2 linked regions of the Lonchura striata genome follow. The protein of the gene in region 2 interacts with the protein of the main gene of each other region in a biochemical or structural test. Links are inferred from orthologs where the notes say so. Each region holds a gene or a part of one and is shown on either strand. Other genes may lie near its edges. The genes, in order: NLK and MYB.

Region 1 (3,901 bases), on a different chromosome or scaffold from region 2:
GGCCAGTGCCTAAAGCAAAACTCCTGGGGCACCCCAGAGGCTCGGCTGGGAACGCTGCAGGGGGCTCGGACACCACACACAGCTGCACGCTGCAAACTTTGCATTCGTGCTGCAGGAAGTGCACTGCAACACGCCTGCTCTCCAGAACAGCCCCCTGCCAGCCTTCATGCTTCCCAGGCACAGCTCAGAACAGGGCACGCCAACAAACATTTATATACAAATGCACATATACTGCTGCCAGCTTTGTGTCAGTGCTCCTGAAGGGCACTAACTACATACATGGCTCTAAGGTAGTCATAAAATGCATTAGGAGAGATTCTACTCCGCTGACAGACTCCTCTGAAACGCGGCTGGGGGATAAAAGGGCCGGAGGCAGAGCTACAGCGAGGCAGGAAATCCCATTTCCATTTTTGAGAGGGGAGCAGAGTTCAGCTGTGCTGTTTGAGGTAGTACACAGCACTACCGCGGGTCAAACCGCCGTGAGACAAAGATCTTGACAGGTGACTGCACAAGGAAGACATTTTCATACGCTTTTCATTTCCGACTCTTAAGCCAGGTCAAAATGAATATTCCAGTGCTCATTTGTTAACCTGAAATTTTAGGAAGCACGGCTTAGCTGCACGGATGCACACTCTAATTAAAGGTACAGAAAGGGCATAAATAAGCTGTATTGTCTCAGAACGGCAGGGTGGCCTGTTAGTCAGAGGTGGCTCCTCACCACTGGGAACCTTGTTCTGCCAACGCAAACGAGCGAAGCAACTTTCTAAGAACGGAGAAGAACCAGCAAAAAAACTCTTAGTAAGCAGCTCTCTTGTATTCTGATTCCAATGACAAAAACAAGGATGAGTTATGATCAGGTAAAGAATGACAAGGAGGTATCGGTTCACTTTTGTCTCTACTCACCAGACAACACCAAAGGCTCCGTATCCGATGGGTCTGTCCGGCTCAATGTCCAGTTGCTGCTGTGGATGTTGTGAGTGCTGATGATGGTGCGCTTTGACTGCAGCAGCTGCTGCAGCCTGTACCTGAGCTGGGGCTGCTGCAGCCGGTCCGGGGGCCTGGCCCGGGGCCGGGGATGGGAAGTACGGCTGCTGCTGCCCTGGGTTCAACATCGCGGCGGCGGCGGCTGCGGCTGCGGCGGCCGCGGCGGCCGAGGAGGCATGCTGCTGCACGGGGTGCACCGCGGCCGCCGAGCCGGCGTGCAGGTGGTGCTGAGCATGGTGGTGGTGATGGAGGTGAGGAGGAGGGAGGTGAGGAAGGTGGTGGTGATGGTGGTGGTGGTGACCTGCTGCTGCCGCAGACGTACCGCCATTGTAAGCCGCCATCATTTTTGCGTTGGCTGTTGTGCCACAAAGAGACATTCAAAAAAATGCCCTTTGATTGGATAACAACTGGGTCAAGCTGTCATTTGGCCATAAAAATTAAATCTGCTACACTTTAAAAGAAGTTGGGTTTCATCATACACGGCCCACCTTTAAAAACATGGAGCTCCACTGGCCTTATCTCCTCGCGAAGCCAAACAACTCGGGGAGTCTCTTCATGTGTGCGGGCGCCAACCCCTTCCCCAGCATCCAGCTGGGCTTGGCTACTCCAACTCCATCCTTGGGCAGCTGGGTGGGGCCGGGGTGGGTTTTTTCCTTCACTTTTGGTTATTTTTGTTGTTTTTCTTGTTATAAAAATTAAACACCGTGATCAATCCCCCTTCCCTCCGGAGGGAGGGCTCGGAGCCTGTGCCCTGAACACCCCGCGAGGGCTGGCCAGCCTAGCCCTGCCATTCCCACACCCTCTCCATGTGTCCCCCGAACCTCCCTGCGCCCGGGCACCTCCTACATCGCTCCCTCCTTCCAGACACCTGCTCCCTCCTTCCAGGCACCTGCTCCCTCACAGCAGCAACAACTCGGGAGTTTGCAACTTTTCCTTGAAGGCCTGAAACACACACAAGGACCCAGAGAAAGTGAAGGGAGGGCGGCGCAGGGCGAGGAAAGGGGGGCAAGGGGGCTAAAAGAAGATAAAAACAGAAGGAGGAAGGGAAGGGCCGGGGCAGGACAGGGATCGCGGGGGGGAGGGGGGGGCGAAGGAGGGGGAAAAGTGGCGAATGAATGACGGGGCGGAGCGGGACCGGGGAGGGGGCGCGGGGCAGGTCGCAGCGGCCCCTGACAGCGCGACCCGCGGCGGGGCGGGGCCGGGCGGGCCGGGGGGCGTCGGGCCGGGGGTGGAGGGCAGGGGGCCCGCGGTGCGGGCGGCGGGAGGGTGTGGGGGCGGCCCCGGGTGCCCGCCCCGCGCGGCCCCGGCCGCGGCCCCGGCCCCGCTCTCACCTGGTCCCGCCGCCCCGCGCCGCGCCGCGGGCACGCGCTCCCCCCCCCCTGCGGGGCGCGCGCCCGACACCGCCCGCAGCCAATCGCGCCCGGCCCGCCGGGCTGCGCGAGAGCCGCCCCCGACCAATCGCCGCGCGGCGCCCGGCGCGCCCCGCCCACCGCGCGCGGCCGTGCGGAGCTCCCCCCCCCATCCTCTCCACGGCGCGGCCCCGCCCCCGTGACCCCGCCGGCCAATCAGCGCGCGCCGCCGCGCCCGGAGCCGCCGAGACCCCGCGAGATTCCCTCACCTCACACAACCCTCACCCCGGGCGGGCCCGCCTCCTTCACCCTCCTGCCACTCACGGCGGGCCGCCGGCCAATGGACGCTGCTCCTGAGCTCAGTGCCGCCCCCGGGAGCCGCTCTTCGCCCAATCGCAGCCGCCCGTCCAGTCCAATGAGCCAATGCAGAGAAACGAAAGCCCGAAAAGAGGTTACTGGGCCAATGGCACGGGGAGGCGGGCGGCGGCGCGACCGACAGCTCTCCTCGCCAGTGGCGGAGCCGGTGGGCGGCGGAGGAGCCGCCGCTCCGCAAATCACGGATGAGGAAGCGGCCGCTGCGCCCGCCCACGGGCGGCAGGCGCCCAATGGGCGGAGGGGATCTGCTGACGGACGGCGGGCGGGGCCAATCGCGGCCCGGGGCGGGGTGAGGTGAGGACGCGGCGCGCGCGGGGTCGCCGTGGGCGCTGAGGGGGCGGCGGAGCGCGAGCCGCGCTGAGGGCGGGCTGAGCGGCCGCGCCGGGTCCCGGTGCCCTTGTGCCCTCACACCGCCCGGTTCCGCTGCCCCCGCAGCTCCCTCTGTGCCCACCCTGCTCCCGCCCGGGTCACGGTGCCCTCGGGAATCGCCCGCTCCCTGCCGCCGGGGCCGGTCCCGCAGCACGGCGGGCCGACGGGGGCTGCCCGCCAAGGGCAGGGGATCTGTGGGGTTTTGGGGCCTGTTTTTCGAGTCTCTGAGGACCGGAGAGCGGCGACTGCGGGGCTGGCAGCGGGGCCCCTGGGCTGTGGCACCATGTCCCGCCGTGCGTGGGCTCCCCTTGGCAGGAAAGAGAAATAAACCGCTAATGAGAGGGTGTAGTGCTCCCAGCAGCGTGGCCCATTGCCCGAGGCAGTCTCTGCGAGGCTCCTTTCAGCGTGCTCAGAACACGCTCAGGGGACACTGCCAGGTACGTGTTAACCAGGACCGAAATATCCTTTGGTTGTTGTTTTAGCTCCCTCACGCTATGAATCTGCATGCCTGGGGACTGCAGTGTCTTTGGGTAAGGCATCAGTGTTCCCTGAAACACAGGGGTGGGTAAAAAAAAGTTTTAACACCTTCCATTTTCTCATGCGAATATTAATCATATCTGATTAATAGTTTTACTTCAGAAAAACTCTCCCAGGTTACTGGAGCCTTTCCCATGGTGGTAGAGTTAAATTACCGTGAGGGTGATGAAGAGGTTCTTTCAGGTAACTGAACTGAGCATTTCGGAGGCAGTCCGTGACTGACAGGGGATGTGTTCGCTGTGCTGGGAGGGAGCTGAGCCTCTCCTTCGCTGCCCCTGGCTCCTGTC
Region 2 (3,901 bases):
GTATTTTACCTCTAACTTTTAAGGTATGAGCAGCAGTTCTGATACTTCAGCTAAAAGATGCTAGCCATGAGTGTTAGAAAGGAGTCAGTGTCATTAAGATTAAAAACTGTGATATATCTGATGGTATGGTATGGTATGGTATGGTATGGTATGGTATGGTATGGTATGGTATGGTAGTTAAAAGTATGACTAAGACATTAAAATAAAGTTATTTTGTAATAAAGTTAACAGGCACTGTTTATGCTGTTAACCTGTTTTCAGGAGATGACTTTCAATTAAGTTGCAGTGAAGCACCATGACTGTCAAGATGTGAACACCTCCAAAAGGCAAGCTACTGAACATAATTCTTTAAAGTACTGGACTAATCACACCCTACATCTTCCACACAGTTTTCTGGCCTGTGTAATGAAAGAACATGCTTACATGCTACATGTAAAAAGTTTTCCACAGCCTGCTGTGATGTGTGTGGTCATCCTGCAGCCTCTGCCGGGTGCCCCTGACTCACCCAACCAGCCCATCGCCACTACCCTCAACTCGTGCCCATCGCGCCGCAGTCCTGCAGCCCCACGATTCGCTCCCTATTTCCCAGACCCCGGAACCTCTGGGAGTAAGCCCCGATGGAAGCTCCCACTTCACACGCACCCCTCGTTGGCAGCTGGAGCCTCCCGTGCTTGAGCAAAAGCTCCCACGCTCCAGCTGCCACCAGCGCGGCTCCGGTCCCCAGCCGCCGCTCAAAGCAGATTCACTTTTCTCAGTGACACACACAGACAGCTGCGCCGCTGCCCATATGGCAAAGGAAGTTTTTGTGGCACAGTTTCCAAGTAGCAGTTTGAAAATGAGTTTTCCGTAGAAGGCAACCGGCAGGACCGCATCCATCCGCGGCGCTTCCTGCGCGGCGGTGCGGGCCGGGCGCCGCAGGGAAACCCCGCTCTGCAGCAGCAGCAGCACAGCATCAGCGGCCAACACGTTTAAGGACTTCAGTGTGGGGCCAGTTCTGTAACAGGGTTATTTAAACGACTGGGGCCTCGCTGGCACCGCAGAACTGAGCAAACTCCACTGTACTGCCTGCGCTCTCCAGCAGGAGAAAAGTGTCCGGGGATTCCGGGACTCTCGGCTGTTTTTTCAGTCAACTTGGCCTTCAGCGGTGCTCTAAAACTTTATTTTGCACCTCCGGCTGCAGCCCTGAAGCCTCCCCCCAAGCGGCTCGGAACGGCACGGCACGGCGCTCCGCCCGGCCGGGACAGCGGGAGTCCCCCGGCCCCCCATCAGCGCCGCGCTGTTCGCCGAGGCAACCGGCTTGTGCAACGATACACGGGGAAAAAAGCAAAAAAAAAAAAAAAAGGGAGAGGTTAAAAAAAAAAAAAAAAAAAAAAAAAAGGAGGTGTAGAGGAAATGACTCGCTGCTGTTACCGTGATTGAAGGAATTCGGGCACCAGCCCCGCGGGGCAGAGCCCGCGCCCGCCGGCGCCGCGCCCGCCGGATCAGGCGGACACCGCGCCGTGCCGCCCCGGCCTCCCAGTCCCGAGCGGCGGACGTGTCCCTGCGGGAGGCGCCCACGAGACAGCGGTAGCTGTCCCTCTCTTTCGGGAGAAACGGGCCGGGTGATTCACCGCCAGCTCAAGCGACAGCCCCGCTCTGACACTGAAAGTACAGCCCGGCGCTCGCCCAGCGGCTCGCCGCCTCCTTCCGCACCGCAAACCCCTCTTCCTTAGAAAGAACCCACCAAGCCCCCAGTCCCACCGGACAGGACCGGCGCCCGGGAAGCGACAGGCAGGGCTGCGACCTCTTCCCCTGTCACAGCCAGCCAAAGGGGAGGGGAGGAGGGGAGGATGCCAGGCTGCAAAGAGAAAAAAGCCTCCACGTGTCCGACCCGCCGTCCCTGGCTAATTAGACAACAACTCCGCTCTGTGCGCCCGCGCGGCAGCGGGGCCACGGACGCGGCCACGCGGCGCTATCGCCCTGTCCGGTCCAGTCCACCGTCTCCGGGGCACCACTGCCCCAGGGGCACCGCCGCCCCCGGGACACCGCCGCCCCCGGCCCCTGCACGGCGTGGCAGGGATCGCCTTGGCCCGGGTGCGCGGCACGCTGGCGGCCACGGGTGACAGCTGCGGCCGAGAGCTCCGTCGGACTCGCAGCCCCCCGCCCGCGCTGCCGCGCTCCTGCGTGTGCCAAGTGGCGTGTACCTGGGAAAAGCTAAGCCACTCAGGCCAGAGTCGCGCTTCCAAGGGCGAAAGGGCCGCACGAATAAAGGAAACAAAAAGTCGAGGGAGCGAACCCAGTCCCCGCACCCGCTGCCCACCTGTCGCCTCAGCCGGCCGGGAATGAATGAATGAATGGGACAAGGACGCGCTACCTGCCGCCGCCGAGCCCGCCAGACATTGTCCCGCCTCGCGGCTGCGGAGCGCGCAGCTCCGTCGGGCTCCGCGCTGGCTCCTGCGGGCGGCGAGCACTGGCCCCCGGCAGGCGTGCAGCGCGGGGCCCGAGCGCCCCGGCACCGGGGCTCCGCGGCGCGTCCCGCCGGGCTGCAGCTCTCCCGGCGCCTCCGGAGGAGGGGAGCGCCTCGGCTCCGGGGGCGGAGTAGACCAGGTGCACGGAGAACGGGGGACTGCCCGCCCGTCCGCCGGGCGAGCCGGTTGCCTGCTGCCGCTTTCTCTCTCTCCCGTCCCGCGCCCCGTCTGACAGGCGCGGAGCGCAGCCGGCCGTCCGCCGCCCGCAGACAGCGGGTTACCTGTGCCGGGGTCTCCGGGACATCCTCGCACCGGCCGCTGGGGGAGGAGGACGGGGGAGACCGAGCCCGCGCCCGCCGCCGCGCCCTGCTGCCGGGCTGCGCCTGGGCGCTCCGCCGCCGCGCACGGGAGTGCCGAGGAGCCGCGGGAGGAGGAGGAGGAAACAGGTTGAGATTAAAGAGTAAACTCTGTAAACAGAGATGCCATCAAACAAAGGGCCCTTGGACACTCCCCCTCCCGCCAAATCTGGCGCCCCTGCAGTGCGCAGGCGCCTGGCGGGCCCGTGCCGCTGTGGCGGGGCGCGGGGCGGGCGCACCGGCGCCGCGCGCCCCGCGGGGCCCTCCCGCCCCGCCCATCCCGCGCGGCAGCGGCGGGAGCCACCCGCGCCAGCGCCGCCGCCGCTCCCGCGCCGCGGGCCCTCGACGGCGCGGCCGCGGCCCCCCCGTGCCCTGCGGCTGTCGCCGATGGAGCTGTCGGGGCGGGGGGCAGCCCCTCTCCGCCGTGCACGGCGGGTGGGGAAGGTGAGGCTCGGCGTGGGGCGAGAACTCTCGGGCGAGACCCCGCGACCGACCCCCGGCCCACGCAGGTGCCTCCCGCCGACGGGGGGAGGGTGGGCCTCGGCGGGTGCACCTGCTCCGCTCCCTGCGTGGTGCGGGCTGCAGCGGCTGCAGCCCTCGGGGGCAAGCAACCCCCGCTGGCAATAAGGGAACTCGGAGGGGCCCGGGGCTGGACTGCGGTTGCCTGCCCGCAGGGGATTTCTGCTATAGTTCCCCTTGCTGCCGCCCGGCGTGGATGCTGCCTGCCGCCGCGGCGGCGGGAGGGGCGGTGGGTGTCCGATGAGCTCCAGAGAACACATTTTTTGATACAGAAATGAGTCAGGACGTGAAAAATGGTGAAACATGCAAAGTTCCCAGGCTGCGCTGCTGCTTGAAAAATCATGGCTTTGCAGCGGTTTCGGCACACTCGCCCTTTCCTCAAAGGCCCGCGGCTCATCAATGAGCAGCCGACGGGGCGGGCCGGGCCGGGGCGGGGCCGCTCCCGAGCCCGCGGCGCCGCTGGCGGAGGGCGCAGCGGGCTGCGGGGCGGGCCGGGGCCGTGCGCTGGGCGCAGCCCGCGGCAGCCCCGCACCGCCCCGCCGCGGCGCCTTGCTCCCGAGGGCTCCCGCGTAACGCGAG

What was found.
Region 1: of the proteins of MYB (region 2) and NLK, one has a biochemical effect on the other in vitro, tested with the Homo sapiens proteins (2 studies listed by BioGRID, with this or other methods). The link is inferred for Lonchura striata from reciprocal best matches to the Homo sapiens genes MYB and NLK.

What each region holds. Positions count from the first base shown.
Region 1 is NC_134622.1:11,206,144-11,210,044, reverse strand, and holds the start of NLK (serine/threonine-protein kinase NLK), read right to left. Parts: upstream 2,745-3,901; 5' UTR 2,603-2,744; intron 2,372-2,602; exon of another isoform or gene 2,316-2,371; intron 1,927-2,315; 5' UTR 1,362-1,926; coding exon 904-1,361; intron 1-903. UniProt on the Homo sapiens protein: Serine/threonine-protein kinase that regulates a number of transcription factors with key roles in cell fate determination. Positive effector of the non-canonical Wnt signaling pathway, acting downstream of WNT5A, MAP3K7/TAK1 and HIPK2.
Region 2 is NC_134605.1:58,243,321-58,247,221, forward strand, and holds the start of MYB (transcriptional activator Myb), read right to left. Parts: upstream 2,752-3,901; coding exon 2,729-2,751; intron 1-2,728. UniProt on the Homo sapiens protein: Transcriptional activator; DNA-binding protein that specifically recognize the sequence 5'-YAAC[GT]G-3'. Plays an important role in the control of proliferation and differentiation of hematopoietic progenitor cells.